Linked DNA regions of Sus scrofa. The protein of the gene in region 2 purifies or fractionates together with the protein of the main gene of each other region. This does not show direct contact. Links are inferred from orthologs where the notes say so. Each region holds a gene or a part of one and is shown on either strand. Other genes may lie near its edges.

Evidence for each region. Proteins that work in one complex are often made in the same cells at the same time.
Region 1: the proteins of IQGAP1 (region 2) and MYL6B purify together in Homo sapiens (affinity purification with mass spectrometry; 3 studies listed by BioGRID and IntAct, with this or other methods). This does not show direct contact. The link is inferred for Sus scrofa from reciprocal best matches to the Homo sapiens genes IQGAP1 and MYL6B.
Region 3: the proteins of IQGAP1 (region 2) and HECTD1 purify together in Homo sapiens (affinity purification with mass spectrometry; 3 studies listed by BioGRID, with this or other methods). This does not show direct contact. The link is inferred for Sus scrofa from reciprocal best matches to the Homo sapiens genes IQGAP1 and HECTD1.
Region 4: the proteins of IQGAP1 (region 2) and DIAPH1 purify together in Homo sapiens (affinity purification with western blotting; 3 studies listed by BioGRID and IntAct, with this or other methods). This does not show direct contact. The link is inferred for Sus scrofa from reciprocal best matches to the Homo sapiens genes IQGAP1 and DIAPH1.

What each region holds. Positions count from the first base shown.
Region 1 is NC_010447.5:21,553,034-21,557,150, reverse strand, and holds the start of MYL6B (myosin light chain 6B), read right to left. Parts: upstream 2,801-4,117; 5' UTR 2,409-2,800; intron 2,075-2,408; exon of another isoform or gene 2,048-2,074; intron 1,091-2,047; 5' UTR 1,045-1,090; coding exon 823-1,044; intron 96-822; coding exon 68-95; intron 1-67. UniProt on the Homo sapiens protein: Regulatory light chain of myosin. Does not bind calcium.
Region 2 is NC_010449.5:53,121,479-53,124,978, forward strand, and holds part of IQGAP1 (ras GTPase-activating-like protein IQGAP1), read left to right. Parts: intron 1-1,629; coding exon 1,630-1,752; intron 1,753-3,500. UniProt on the Homo sapiens protein: Plays a crucial role in regulating the dynamics and assembly of the actin cytoskeleton.
Region 3 is NC_010449.5:68,317,575-68,321,166, reverse strand, and holds the start of HECTD1 (E3 ubiquitin-protein ligase HECTD1), read right to left. Parts: upstream 2,133-3,592; intron 2,076-2,132; coding exon of another isoform or gene 2,022-2,075; intron 1,034-2,021; 5' UTR 892-1,033; coding exon 752-891; intron 1-751. Other genes in the region: uncharacterized protein LOC110261745, read left to right, coding at 2,022-2,075, 2,133-3,254. UniProt on the Homo sapiens protein: E3 ubiquitin-protein ligase which accepts ubiquitin from an E2 ubiquitin-conjugating enzyme in the form of a thioester and then directly transfers the ubiquitin to targeted substrates.
Region 4 is NC_010444.4:143,268,195-143,272,280, forward strand, and holds the start of DIAPH1 (protein diaphanous homolog 1), read right to left. Parts: upstream 2,801-4,086; coding exon 2,684-2,800; intron 1-2,683. UniProt on the Homo sapiens protein: Actin nucleation and elongation factor required for the assembly of F-actin structures, such as actin cables and stress fibers. Binds to the barbed end of the actin filament and slows down actin polymerization and depolymerization.

The DNA.
Region 1 (4,117 bases), on a different chromosome or scaffold from region 2:
AATAGAAAGAGGATCTGACCAGGGGCTTGGGATGGACAGTGGGCTCAGGGGACCAGCTTCTCCTCACCCTCCAGCTGGTCCTTGTTAAACTCGATCTGTGGAAGAAAAGAGCAGGTGAGGAGGGATGACAGGGCTTATTCAATCTCTCTCCAGCACTCCTCCCGACCAACTGGCAACCACTTCTGGGGAGGGGCCCAAAGGGACCAGGCTGGGAGCCCAGCCACCTCAGTCCCATTCCCAGCTCCAGACCTTGGGAGAATCCCAAGAGGAGGAATTATTGGGGGGAGGGTTTCCTGGGAACAGGGTTAATCCCATGCCACCTGTTCCCCTCCCTCTACTGCCCTGAGCCCTGCATCCCTCACATAACTGGGGGCTGAACAAAGGCTAAATTTACCCCTGGCCCCCAGCTGTGATTGTCTAACAAGTCTGTCCTCTTCAGCCTTCCTTCCTGGGGTTCAGAGCTGTGGCCTTTCGTGTTGAACAGTCAGCCAGGGGCCGGCAGCAGCTCCCTCCCTTCACCTTGAAACTGTCCTCAGAACCCAGATGTTCCCCATCTCACAGTCCCTGCCTCCAGCAGGAGGGTCAGTGAGAATGTGTGTGTATATACGTACACAGAACGTGTTATAGATTAGAGGAAGAGCTCAACAAAGACAATAGCAGAGTCATGACCCTGAATCCTTCCAAATAGGGGACGAAGGGAAACCCCCGCTATCATCCAGTGCTTACTGATTCCCTACCTTCTAGATACCCCCTAGTCCTCTAGGCTGAATCCCACCCTTTACCACTCCCTCCAAATTCTTTTCTCACTTTCCAGGGACTCACCACCACTTTGGAGAGATCGACGGGGGGCTCCTGGATCTTCGCAGAGGCTGAAGGGACAGCTGGTGCTGGTGCTGGTGCTGGTGCTGGCGCTGACGCTGACGCTGGTGGTGGCTTGGCTGGAGGGGCCCCTGCTGCTGGCTTGGCAGCAGGCGCAGCAGGCTTGGGGTTAGGGGGCCCCACTGGTTTCTTCACGGGAACGGGAACATCCTTCTTGGGAGGCATGATGTCCGGTGGCCAAAGGACAGTGTGCCGATGGGGGCACCCATCTCTGTTTAAATAGCCAGGGAGTCTGGGATGTCAAGGGGCGGGGGCAGGGGCAGGGAGCCAGTTGGCGATGGGGAGGGTGAGATAGAGGAGAGATATGCTGGCCTGCCCTCACTCCCCTGGCCTCCTATGGTTCAGGACTCCTGCCCCAAGGTCTTCTCCCTTCTGTCCACCTGGCCCCAAATGCTGACCAGAACAATGGCCCCTTTGGGGGCAGGGGGAGGAAGCCAGAGACTGCCCAGAATGGGGGAGTTAACCTCCGGGGTGAGGATAGGATGCTTGCCAGTGACAAACAGTAAAATAGGGGTGAGGCAAAGAAGGAGATCCAGGCATTCAATGCCCTCAACCCTCTGACTCAGAAGAGCCCTTTTTCCTAGCAGCTTTAGACTCTTGAAGGCTGAAGCAGGGATGGGGGCCTTGTGAACTGTGATTGTTAAAGTGGGGTCTGGGAGTAGTGAAAGGTGAAAAAAACAAGCAGACTCTCTGCTCCTCTCTGACCATGGATGAGAAGCAGGGATAGTGGATCCCACAGCTTCATAATCCTGAATACTGTAATTCTCTAACCCTCTTCCTGCCAGCCCAGAACTGGAACTGTGTACAAAATAGAGACAGAATAGTAAGAGAAGAGTGTGACCTCCCCCTCCGATTGTTCCTGTACCCAGTGTTAAACGTTTAAGGAGCGGGGATGCGGGCAAGGACAGTTTAACACCCACCATCCATACTCCCAAGGAAGGAACACTTGTCCACAAACCTATGGTCATTCAGGTCAGACACAAGTAGGGTGTCTGAACCTGCAGGGGCTCCTTGCACCTGGGGGGAAGGGCAGGCTCTGAGAGGCAAAGGGCTTAATTTCTAAAATCTCTAATCCAAAAGGACGTGGGAGGCCCTTTGGCCTCCATGAGTACTCATTCCCAACCAGAGGGATAATAAAACCTCCAGACTAGGTTGCCAGATTACAAACCTTGCTGGGAGCGCTGGGGTAGAGTCGAAGTCCGGGCATATGGGGTGGGGGGGGGGGCGTCACTGGCTAGTTTTGTTCTGGGGTTAAAGAAAGAGACGATTTAAACAGCATTCCGAGGAAGATAAGAGTGATCCCACTTAGGTCCTGGGGTTCAGAGAGTTGATGCTGGGTCTCCCACTCCAAAAAAGTCTCTGAATCTCATTACTGCCAATTGCCTCATTTTAGGAAAATAAGCACATCACTCTCTCTCTCTCTCTCTCTCTCTCTCACACACACACACCACACACACACACACTCACATACACACACCCTAAATATTAAATAAAGGAAAGAGTCCCTCCCCAAAGCCCCAAAAACTCACCCTGAGGGGTCCAGGTAAGAGGAGGAGGCGGGGCGAAGGGCAGCCGCAGTCCCTGAAGGGTTAATTTCGCCAGCCACCGAGCATGCCGGGAATCGTAGTCCTCGCGCGCGCCCGGAGGCTCACGGGAAACTCCGCTTAACTACGTAAGGGGGGCGGTGTTAGTGCGGTGGCTTCCGGCCCGAAGCGGCGGTTGGTGACTCAGTATGTTTGGGGCGCGTTTCTTATCCCGGAAAAAGTACTTTTCACTGACTCTCAAAACGTGCGCGGCCCTTCAGAATATCTCCCTTGTTTGGCCCTGAGTTCACTGTTTAGTGTGGGCGGAGCTGTTTTCCTGAGTTCGCTGTGAGAACGCGGAAGCAGCGGAAGGGTTGTAGCTGCCCCAGGCTCAGATAGAAGGTCAGGTAGCTCAGGAAGCACTTAACGGCCCCGGGCCGAGTGGTTAGGTCAGTTTAGCTTCCTGTTGCAGTTCGGTAGAAAATAGAGGCCATTGAGTGGCTGTATGACTTGGAACAGTAAAGTTGTTTGTTTGAAGTGAACTGGTAGTTGAAGTAAACGTTAAAATTTGGAATTAAGCCGGCTAACCTGCCGCAGTCCGAGTTGAAGTTTCTCCATTCTGCGGCCGCGTATGCATCAGGCACCCTTTCTGTTCTTCACAGGTCTCTTTGGAGTGGAGGCCTGCGTTCTCCAGCTCTTGACTCTGAGACATCTCTGCCCAGCATTGGACATCTCTTTCCCGTGGATGGCTGGTTGTTTTTTAGATTTTTTTTTTTTTTAATGGTCGCACCTGTGGCACATTGAAGTTCCCAGGCGAGGGGGGGGGGTCCAATTGGACCTACAGCTGAGGCCTGTTCCACAGCCAGGGCAACAGGGATCCGAGCTGCATCTGCTACCTACATCACCTGTGGCAAAACTGGATCCTTAACTCACTGAGTGAGCCCAGAGATTGAACCTGCCTCCTCACAGAGGTAGCGTCGTGTCCTTAACCTGCTGAGCCACAGAGGGAACTCCTTGTTTGTGTTTAATTGAGGTATGGTTGGTACAGAATATTCTGTTTCAGGTAGGTTGTATGTACTCCATTAATAGTTATAAATATTGGTTATATTCTCTGTGTTGTACATCCCCCAAGATGCTTTTGAAAGGTCTCCTTTGGGCTGGTAAGGAACCAGCCCAGCCCCACTGATCTACTACTAGATGGAAGAGTAAATGCCCTGAAGGTGCATACCATGCTGGAGATTGGGGCTTGCACGGGCTTGCTTGCAGGCAGTGGGTGGGAGTAGAAAGCCCACAAGAGGTCAGAAGAGTGAGGCATAAATGAACTTAATGGGCAGTGCAGAATTGATGTTGGCTGGTTGGGGAAGGCTTTTTGGAAGAGTAGAAATGGATTGTATAATAAAAACAATAACCGATGAGGAGGTGGAGGGTGTTAGCAACCATTTCTGAAGGTCTCCACAGAGCAGGTACTGCATGAACCATAGAGGGTGCTAAAGAGTGTGGATTCAGACTAGCCTGCTTAAATGTGATGTTTTATTTGCTATTGTTTTGAGTTCTTTTTCAGGCTACTTAATTTTTGTTTGTTTGTTTGTTTTGTTTTTTTTCTAGGCCACATCTGCATCATATGGAGGTTCCCAGGCTAGGGGTGGAATCGGAGCTCCAGCTGCCGGCCTACACCGCAGCTACAGCAGCTCGGGGTCTGAGCTTTGTCTGTGACC
Region 2 (3,500 bases):
CCATGATTTGTTCTCAGCTGCCAAGAAAAGTCTAAAATGCAGCCTTTTTGGTGCTGGCCACAAACCATCAGCCTGCCTGGTTTACAAGGAGAGAAACTGAAAATCCAGAGAGGCGAAGTGGTTAAGCACAGGTCCTACTTATTAAAAGTGATAGTAAACTTTTCATCTTAAATATTTTCAAACCCCAGAAGGGCTGAATGAATAGAACGCTGAACATCCATATACCTGTCGCCTAGATTCACCTGTATTTAACACTTTGCCACATCAGCTTCCTCTCTCTCTAGCTTGCTTGCTCTTCCATCTGTGCTTTTTCTCTCCCTCCCTGAAAACTTCCTCGAGTAAGGGAGAGCTGATGTGAAAACCCAACTTGCAGAGTTGGCTCCTGTGTCCTTTTAAAATGTCTCCATCGTTCTTTTAGCACCTCTTGACTTTGTGGCATAATATGTTTCTGGTTCAATTTGTACTTTCCCTCCCTAAATTTGGATTTAGCTATTTTTCCAAGCATCCCTGGTTCCTTTTAATGAAAAACGGTATTTAGAAACCAAGATCTAGGCACTAGATGTGCTCATTGCCACACAGACATCATTGTTTCAGGCCTTCTAAGCGGACAGAGCTATGTTCTTTCTTTTTTGATGGCTTGGTGGTATTCCATTGTATAGGTAACTATAAGTGCTTAATTCTCCATTGTTGAGTATTTACATTATTTCCAATTATCATAAAAAATTCTGTAACAAATAACTTCTTGTACATATTTTGCAAATATAGGCATGTTTTGGAAGATAAATTTCTATAAATGTAATTGCTGGGTCAAAATTTTGTACAGTTGTGATTTTGATAGATATTTCAGTTGCCAGCCTTAGGGATTATTCTCTTATACACAACTACCAGCTTTTCTGTCCCACTTCTTTGAGACCCTCCCCTTGAGAGTACCAGGTCTCTTCTCACTCGTTTCTTTTCTTTGCTTATTTTTCTTACCACTTCTTGCTTTGGGTATCCCAATAGCCTTCCAACATCTATTTCTTTTTCCTTGCTCACATTCCTCTATAATTGCTATGCTGGCTCAAACTCTTTTAAAAATTACATATTCTAGGAATGCCCTAGTGGCTTAGCACGTTAGGATCTAGTGTTGTCACTGCTGTGGCCCAGGTTCGATCCCTGGCCCAGGAACTGCCACATGCTGCAGGCATGACCAAAAAAAAAAAAGTTAAAAAAAATGATGTATTCTAAGACATTTTTATTTTTTTTCTGCACAGCCAAGAGGCTTAGAGTCATTCCCCTGGGGTTCAGTACAATTCCCTCAGGCTGGCATTAAAAGCCCTCACACTTACTTTCACTTACTTTAGATGCTTAGGTTCTAGGGGGGACATAGAAGGATTAAGATATTGTTGCATTCATGGTGTGTCCTCAAATATAATTTAAATCAAAGTAAAAGCAACGGAGTAATGTTTCTCTGTTTTGCAGAGATGTTGCTTTGTCAAATCCTAGCATTTATTTGCCATTCTAGAACTGGCTTGTTTCTTAGGCTTGTGTATGGGAAGTTTGTTTGCTGATCTCATATCCTTGAATTATCAACAAAGATTCATAATTGATAGTTATTTATGGAAAGTGACATGATGTGATTTTTTACAGGGTCTCCAAAAAGCCTAGGGAAATGAAAGGAAAGAAAAGCAAAAAGATTTCTCTAAAATATACAGCAGCAAGACTACATGAAAAAGGAGTTCTTTTGGAAATTGAGGATCTCCAAGTGAATCAGTGAGTATTTATGTTTTTATTGTTTTATATATTGATTTTTAAATTTATGCATTTGTCATATCTTTATCTTATTGACTTTGTTTCTCTGGATAATCATTTTTATATTTTATGTGTATAATTAATTATGTGCAGAATTTGGCCTAATATGCAGTTAATTTGTCTCTCATGGAAAAGAAGGTATTTCTTTTCCTTGTTTGTGGAACATTTGTCTTGGGACATTTTACTTTTCCTTTTTAAAGCAGGAAGCCATTCCTTCCATTTATTTCTGTGTCCAAACTAAGAATAAATAAGACGGATGAGAAGAGCAGTGCCCTGCATTTCACCTGAGGCTAGGAACCTGGGACTTAGCTCATCTTCTTGGTTTTACTTTTTTTTTTTTTTTTTTTTGTCTTTTTTTGTCTTTTTGTCTTTTGTTGTTGTTGTTGTTGTTGTTGCTATTTCTTGGGCCGCTCCCGCGGCATATGGAGGTTCCCAGGCTAGGGGTTGAATCGGAGCTGTAGCCACTGGCCTACGCCAGAGCCACAGCAACGCGGGATCCGAGCCGTGTCTGCAACCTACACCACAGCTCACGGCAACGCCGGATCGTTAACCCACTGAGCAAGGGCAAGGACCGAACCCGCAACCTCATGGTTCCTAGTCGGATTCGTTAACCACTGCGCCACGACGGGAACTCTTGGTTTTACTTTTTACATTATCACACATGTGTTATCACACATGTGATAACACCTTTATCTGTAAACCTTTGTTTTTTTATGGTGGATGCTTAAAAATGTAATTTCTAGTCAGAATATTAAAAAAATGTTTGTTGTACAAAAACACAAAACATAAAATTTACCATCTTAACTATTTTTTACAGTGTACAGTTCAACAGTGTTAAATATATTCTTATGGTTGTACAAAAGAGCTCCAGAACTTTTCCATCTAACAAAACTGAAACTGTGCCCTTCAGACATAGTTTAAAGCCCCAGCCCTGGGCAACCAACATTCTCTTCTCTGTTTCTATGAATTTCACTCCTCTAGGTGCCCCATAGAGGTGGACCCACACACTGTGTAAGGTCACTTTTCTTTCTGTGGTTCCTTCACTTTTAGCGTGATATCCTCTCAAGGTCCATCCATGTTATAACCTGTGACAGATTTCCTGCCTTTTTAAGGCTGGCTAATTTCCCATTGTATACATGGCAATGGGAATGTTTTGAGACCCTACTTTGAATTCTTTTAGATATATACCCAGAAGCGAGATTGCTGGATCATATGATGGTTCTATTTTTTATTTGTTTGTTTGTTTGTTTAGGAACTGCCATACTGTTTTCCATAGCAGTTGGGGGAAAAAAAAGTAATAAAATAAAGTATTTTCTTTATTTTATTAACTAAATAAAACAAAGTATTTTCTAGGAGTGTCTGAGAAGTGTGTGAAAGCGCTTACCTCACTACTTCTTTGCTGTCATTGAATAGTAAAACAAGTTTTGATGTTTTTGAATCAGTGCATTAAAAATGGTAGTATTTTAAAATTTTGCATTTTTTAAAATTCCAGGTTTTTTCTTTTTTGGTGTATGTGTGTTTAAATGTGGCTTATTATCTATATTTTCTCTGGTCACTTTTTCATTCGGGAACCTTGGTCTTTTGGGATTATTTTTTTAGTTGAGCACTTTATGCATTTTTCAAATCTGTTTCATAATATTTACCATCTCCTCCCTTCTTTTTGTCATTATTTGCCACTACTGTTCAAGTGCCTACCATTATTTTGACTC
Region 3 (3,592 bases), about 15 Mb from region 2:
GGCATCTGAGTTTTCACTTATCACTGGAATTCAAAATTGTAAATATAAATATAAAATAAACAGCAAAAACCAGTGTGTTTGGCATTCAAAACAGTTAATCTAATTAGGCAAGCATATAAGTGGAAACATATGGCATTAATGACCAATCTAGTTCCTTTACATTTTTGCAAATTCTACATAACCTCTGAATGAAACTGTTTAAACTCTACAAACCTCAAAGTTTGCTTCTACTATTCCAAAAAGTATGTTATATGGGTAAGGTCTAATTTATACCTGCTCCAAACTGAAATTTACAAACCAATCATTTGCTTTAACAAAGGCAGTGTCATGAATTAATACCAAGGGCAACTGGAAACATATATTCATTATAGTTTGTATTCTTTTGTTAATTTCAGGCCAATTTTTTTCATACAGAAATAACCAACCTTAAAGAAGTATTTGTATTTCCCAGTTCATAAAATATTCTGAAAATGGATCAATCACACACAAGGTTAAAATTAGTATTCCCTACTAATTCCTATTCATTCAACAAACATGTATTTGTGTCGTAACTATCATTACTGGAGTTAGTTCACCTACCAATTTTTATTTCTCAGAAAAATACAAATGCAAAACTGCAGAAACTTTTTAAAAGTTTTAAAACTCACTGAAGAAAATTCTACAGAAGCTAAAATCAGGAAATGGCTGAAAACATGTCATGTAGATGTCACTACAGCAACTCCAAAGGAAGATGATGAAGGGATGTACTTACGTTTCAAAACAACGATCCACGTTGTCAGACATCAAAAGCAGCATGCATAGCTGTTCAAGGGCTATTAGTTGCATGTCCCTTTCATCTCCCTGTCCCATCTGCAGCCATTCCAGCAATGTATCTGGATCCACATCTGCCATGGTTTTTTTTTTTTTAAAGGCTCTTTGCTTAAATTAAAAAAGTAAAAGCAAAAATTCCTCTAAATGTCCAGAAATGATCAGGGTGGGTTTAAATTTTTTTTTTCTTTTACACGGGCCAGAGCCAAATTTTCGTGGTGTCCTCCTGGAATTAGAAAAGACTCATAAGTGTGTGTGGATAGAGAGCTTAATGCAGTTTTTCAACTTTCCTTATTCCTCGGTTTAACTTCATATATCACACTAAATAAAAACCAGTTTTGAACAAGAATATAAGCTGATTAGGTTGCTGCTTAACTGGAAACCTGAGCCGTCTTTGTCAAAGACAGTTAAACAAGCTTCCTATCCCAGTACTGCTATCACTAATGTCTGTGCCAAAAGGCAAACAACACCTTACTATGAGTTCTTTTTTTTCAGCAAACGTCTTTCCCCTCCTCGACCCAAAACTGATCTTCGGATAAGGATGAGAATCAGTATTTTAAGGAGACTAAGAATTTTGATCTAATCCCTCTCCAAATTAAGTTTCTATTTTAAAATTACCTCCAATTTCATAAATTCTGCCGACTTCTCGATTTACTTACTGCTATTCTTACCATATCTAAATACAAATGATAGACACAAGATCTATCTAGGAATAAAAACTTGATTAGGAATTTTGGCTGTTTTGGCAACTGTTTTTAAAAGTTTTAAAAGAAATGCTAAAAGTAAGTACAATGGACTAACACATTACGGATCAGAATATAGGCTAATCTATGGTCCTCTTTCCCTGTCCCCATAGAGTGGGCAGTTGGTTAAAAACAACAACAGCGAAGGAAAAGCAACCACAACAGGCAAGTCATTACAAAAGCTCGTAAGTGCCGTGAAGGAGAGACGGCTTTGGGTCCCCTGCAACCCAGGTGCAGGTGTATAAACCCAGCGGCAGGTTCCAGTGGGCACCCAACGGCGGCCGTCAGCAGGGGTGACCCAACACCCTAGGCCCACTCGACCCCGCGCCGAGAGGCGCAGGCACCGCGCTCCGGTTTCCTGGCACCAAACCCGGCTAAGTTAGCTACCTGTGTCGAAAAGGAGGGGGAAGTTTTGGAGGAGGAGCAGCAAGCCTCTCTACCCTAGAGGAGGCCACCGAGGCGGGCTCGGAGATGGGTCTCCCGGGAGCGGCGCCCGGAACTCCGAGGCCCGGGGAGATGTCCCTGGCCCCGCCGGGCGGCGAAACCTTCTCAAGGACAAGGGGAGGGGGGGGGCTGCCGTAGGTTCCGGCTTGGACAAGCCGGGTCCCGCCCCGGGCAGAGCCAAGGCTGGGAAACAAAGGGGCTAAGAGGGTAAGTCAACAGCAGTGCCGCCGACCTTACCAGGGGCCGGGGTCTCGCTCCCAGCCCGCCGCCGGGCATCCCTCATCCCGGCACCAGGGCCGTTCCGACCGCCCAGGGAGTCCCCGCCTCCCCTTCCCTCAAGCTCTTACCCGGGCCTGTCCTCCCAAACCACTCCGGTCCAGCTCCAAGCAGGCCGCGGGCAGAGCCAGGCCCGGCCGCGGCCCTAGAGTTCCCAGGAAGCCGCAGGCCGCGCAGGTCGAGCCGGGCAAGCGGCACAGGAAAAGCCGCTCCTCGTCCCTCCCCTTCCTCCGCGGGGACCTGGTGACGGGGAAGCGAGAGGTTCCCCAGACCAGCGGCAGCCAGCGCACGTCCCGTCCCCGGCACGCGGCTCCTCCGGCCTTACAGCTCAGAGGCCCGCGCGGTGCTGCCGGCGGCGGCGGCGGGGGAGGCCGCGTCCATCGCGATCCGGGAGGGGGAAGGGAGGAGGGTCGGGGGAGAGCCGGGCGGGGAAGCTGCGGAGGGCAGCCGTGCGGCGCGGAGGCGGAGCAAATGGGCTCTACTGACTGCGACCTCGCCGGCCGCCACGTGGGGCGCTGCAGGTGCCGGTCGGCCAGTGGCGCAAGGGGCGCCAGCCCTGGGTGCCAGGCGGCGGGACGCGTCGCCGCCTCTCTCTGGTCTCTCTCGCACTCCGGGCCTCGGTCTCCCTCGGCCTTGTCAGCTGTCGCTTTACTATCGTACGCCCTGCACCTTCACTATGCTATCAATCGGAGCGCGCTCCCACCACCCCGCACGCGCGGCTGCACGTACGCTCAGCGTGTTTTGCACGGTGTGTACACACTTGGCGCGCTCCTGCTGACGGCACTCAGGCTGCACGTCAAACCTGCGGCCCAGGCTGTCTTTGCCTGGCGTCCTACCAGGGCGACCGTACCCGGCCAAGAACTGGTCACCCCTCCTCGAGCACCGAAAAGTGTCGCGGGAGGAGAAGCGCCTCCCTTCGGTCCTAGGAGGCAAACCGCCCGCAGTTCGTTGGAAAGAAAATCTTTCACAACTCCGGGGAAGTAAATATTGTCGAGTGTTCTCTCCATTGTACGGATGAGAGAACTGAGGCTCCCAAAAGCGTGAATTCAGGCCCAATGGCGTCCCCAGTAAGCAGCAGCACTGCGAGTGTGCTTTTGATTTTTTCCTGTGGGTTTTGGTCGCAAGAATGTCTGTAATTATTCCCTTCGGACGTTCTGTTTCACAGGCGTTGAAAACAAAATATATTTGCTTATGGTACGTACATGGAGATATTTAGGATATAATTAATTGGAAATGTGACTATAGCTTCCTTTTTTTAAAATCAAGAAATTAATGCCTTGGTTTGTGAGATAGGTAAACCCATGCCCAGACACCCACTGTAC
Region 4 (4,086 bases), on a different chromosome or scaffold from region 2:
CCTTGTGTCCTTTCCGCACAAGATGCCACAGAGGTAAGAGCAGATCTCAGGTCATTTGTGAGCTCTGTGTTCTCATCAGCTCATCTGTACTTAGAATCTGCCTAAGCTTGGGAAGGTAAGTAGAAGCTAAAGGGATTAGTAGACCCTCAGATGCAAGTAACCTTCAGGCACCCTAAGTCCAAAGCAGGGCAGTTTGATAAAGCACATCTTTATGGGGTTCCCGAGGACGCGCGTCCTAGAAAAGGTAGAGGAGGTGAAACAGCTCTGCGTTCACGTTCAGCCTGGTAGTTCAAGAAAACTAAGCCAGGGGTATAACAAAAGCAAACCAGCAATCTCGCCCACTCCACCCACCCGCATGTACATACCCAGACACAAAGAGAAGTGGATTGCAGTGCTCCTCCTAGGCTCTCGTTTCCGCAGAGTTCTTACATAAAGAGCAATGAGAAAGAGCATCCTGAAGCCTTGGGGAGGAATATAAAGGGGTTAAGCAGCACCCCTCTGCCGGCAACTTTCAAGCCCCTGGCCAGGAGTGCAGTTCTCCTCACAAGCTGTACGTGTTACTTGCTTGCTTATTTTTTAAAATTCAGCAGGTTAAGAGTTAAGATCAACACCTCAGAGAGGAAAAAAAAAAAAAAGAGAACTTGGTTCAGCTCCACCCTCTCCAAAGCAAATACCAACAACTCTGAGCCAAATCCACTCAGCATACACAAGAGTCCGTGGACATTCCAAAAAGCAGGTGAAAAGAAGCTGAGTATCTTCAGGTCTCTCACCGCTCAGCCCCCTGCACTCAGCACAATTCTCAAATTTGTGAAACAAGGTAAGGGGTAGATAAAACAAAAGCGCATATGACATTCTATTAAGAACTTGAAAAACATCTACACGTCACGGCGGTCACTATAAATCAGCAAGAATAGCTGGAATCGGGTGAGGAAGGTCACACTGTACCCATGGAAACAAAAGCAAAACAAAATGATACAGAAAGAGAAGGAATATGGGCTCTGAACCTAAGGCTTAGAAGGAAAGCTCCCTAACTAACTAAAGGGTCATTCTTGCCCTAAAGAAACCAAGGGGAATGTTGTTTTGGTCACCGTGGGGGAAAGGCTGTCCCTACTATTAAACCTGCATGTCTAGGGAGGGATCGGGGAGGATAAGGGGAGGGCATTTGCCAGATAAAAACAGGCAGTGACTGACAGCCTACAGGCCCTGGAAAGGACAGTCCAGAAGCACCTGTCTTGCTAGAAATAGGTAGGAAGAGATGAGTCACTATTTTAATTGTTTAATACTCCCCACATCTCAACCCTCTAGGTCCCAAAACAATATTTTCTTCCTGTTTCCATCACTTTGTATCAGTTTTTTTCCCCAAAACTTGTGGAGTTGGGTCAGAATGCTAAGGCGCGGGGGGGGGGGGGGGGGAATAGGAGAAAAGAGGAAAAAGTGAGAAACCACTGGGTTAGCAGAGCTACTGGGGTGGGGGCGTAATTACTGGAGAGAGCGGACTACCTAACTCCAGTTTCAACTAGCAAATGGTTATGAAGATCCCAAACTTCCCCCTCTCATGGACAGCGCCCCATAACTTTCAAAGCTTCTACAGCAAAAAGCCAACAAAACCTCCCTGGAGAGACGAGGGAAAAAGAAGCTTCAGGGTGTGCAAAGCTAATGAAACATGGCAGTGTTACCTGAATATCAACACTCTTTCAGACTGGAAGTAAGTGGCACCTAAGGAAAACTACACTCTTCTACGAGTAGGAAAAGGGACGTGAAGGGGCCTTGGGGCACAGGAGGTGGCGGAAGAGCCCAGGCGGGTTATCAGGGGTAACGCAGACTCGGCAATTCAATTAGATCCTCACAAGCTTCTCGGCCTTTTAAGTCTGACTTCCTCCCCTTGGGGGAGATGTGTCACCATCCCAAGTCAAGAAGGGCTTATTCAGAAGTTCTAACCCCCTGAAAAGTGGTCAGCAAGAGGGCAAAGGGACAGATTCTCAGGGCAGGGCGATACGGGAAGCCAACGAAGGTTATGCCCAGTGACCAGAGGAACTGGGCAGGTACCCACTCCTGCGAGCACAAGGCCGGACGTCCAGGGAGGAGGGAAGGGAGGGCCCAAGTCAGGTAACATTCCAGAGAGGAAGGATTATCAGGTGACACTGGGCTAAGGGCCCAGAGAGGGGACTGGGCGGGAGGAAAGTTAGCAGGTGAAAGAGATCAATCTTGGGGAAGGAAGTGACCTTTGGAGACGCAAATAAAGAGAATACCAAAAGGGAGGGGGGGAGGGTAATAAGAGAAAATGGACCCAGACAAGCACAGCGCATCGAGGTAGAGAAGGCGTGTTCGGGTAACAAGAGGAAGAAGAAAGGAAGTGGGCTCCGAGGGGAGAGATGGGGCCGAGGGCGGCCGGGGCCGTGGGGGCGGAGGGCAGAGCGTGCGGGCTTGGCGGGGGGTCGGGGGTGAAGGGAGCCCCGAGGTGGCCGGGACAGCAGCCGAGGGGGGGACTCCGGGGCTCCCCGACGTCCCGGCGCGGTAGGAGGTCGGGCTGCGGAGCCCAGGACCCAGCAAAACCAGGAAGGGAGACGCGGGGGCGGCTCCCTAGGGACCGGCGTGCGCCCCTGGGGCCGGCAGCGAGGGTCTCCGGGCTCCGGAGGGCGGTTACGGGGCCAGGCTGAGGGAACCAGGTGGGAGGGACACTCACAAATTTCTTGGATTTGCCGCCGTCGCCGCCTGCCGAAGGCAGCTCGTCCGGGCTGCGGCCCTTCTTCTTGTCCCGGGTCCCGCGGCCGGGCCCCAGACCCCCACCGGGCGGCTCCATGTCCAGGTTCGCGCTGGCTCCTGACCCCGCGCCTACGCCGCTCCCGCCCCGCAGCTCCAAGCCCGCCGCCGCCGCCGCCGCCGCCGCCCCGCAGCTCCTCAGCCCGCCGCCGCGCCCCGCCTCATTAGCATGCCGGGCTGCGCGCGCCTCATGAATATACAACGGCGACGCCTCGCTCCCGCCCGCCTGCCCCACTTCCGCCCGGACCCGCAGCCCCTACCAACGGAGGAAGTGGGGGGGGAGGCCGCGGAAGCGCACTACCTGCCCGGCGGGCCTAACCATTCGGACCCACGTGGGGGGGTGGTGAGGAGGCGGTGTCGCTCTCCGGTCGGCGCCCCCTGGCGGTTGGAGAGGCGCAGGCCTCCCTGCTCCCACACACAGTGCCCACGTGGCTGTAAAGCCTGGACCCTCTCACACCCCAGACCAAAATGTGATTCTCTGAACCAAAAATCGCAAAAGAGAGACTGTTATCTCGGCAGAAAATGTATTGCCAGGCTTTCTAAGATAATCCAGTTTTAACCTGTGCAATAGCCATGGAGCACGTGAAAAAAAGCCACAGCCACCATCTACTGAAAGCTATGTCCAGGGCCAGTGCTAGACTGAACTCAGCTAGCTCTGGAGGTAGATCACCTAGTTCTAAATCTCAGGCCTGCTACTTTCTGTGTGTCTAATCTGGAGACACTGGTTATTGCCTCGTGTGCCTGAGCCTTAACAATAGCCAGCCATTTACCACGTACTTGTGCCAGGCCAGACGCTATGCAAAAACGCTGCCCTTATTTTCTTGCTGAATCCTCACTATGCCACGTGATAGATTCCACTAGGCATACCATTGTAAAGGTAGGAAATTTGGACGCTCACAGTTTAAGTGACTTGCCCTAGGACACATAATTAAGTGATTAAAAAAAAAATTAAAACCAGTTTAGTTTGACTGCCAATCTATGTCCAGCCAGGATTCCCTACGGACATAAACCAAACCTGAGGAAAAAGAACAGGTGTTCCCCAAGCTTGTTCTTTGCCCTACTAGCTTCGTTCCTCCCTCATTAATTTCATCTATTGTCCCAGCTACATCTGTCCCCTAAGTGAAAAGCAGGTGGCACCCAGTGGGCCCTCAAAGTCTGGACTGACTTATCTTGCCCACAATTGGCGAGATTTCAACTGTATGTTCCAGGAGGGCAGAGTCAGTGACTCACTCGCTAGGAAGCCCCCGGTGCTCAGTCTAGGGTCTGGCGTGTTACAGGGACGCTGTCAAGCTGGCTGGCTCCTAAATCTGACCTTCATCTCTCCTT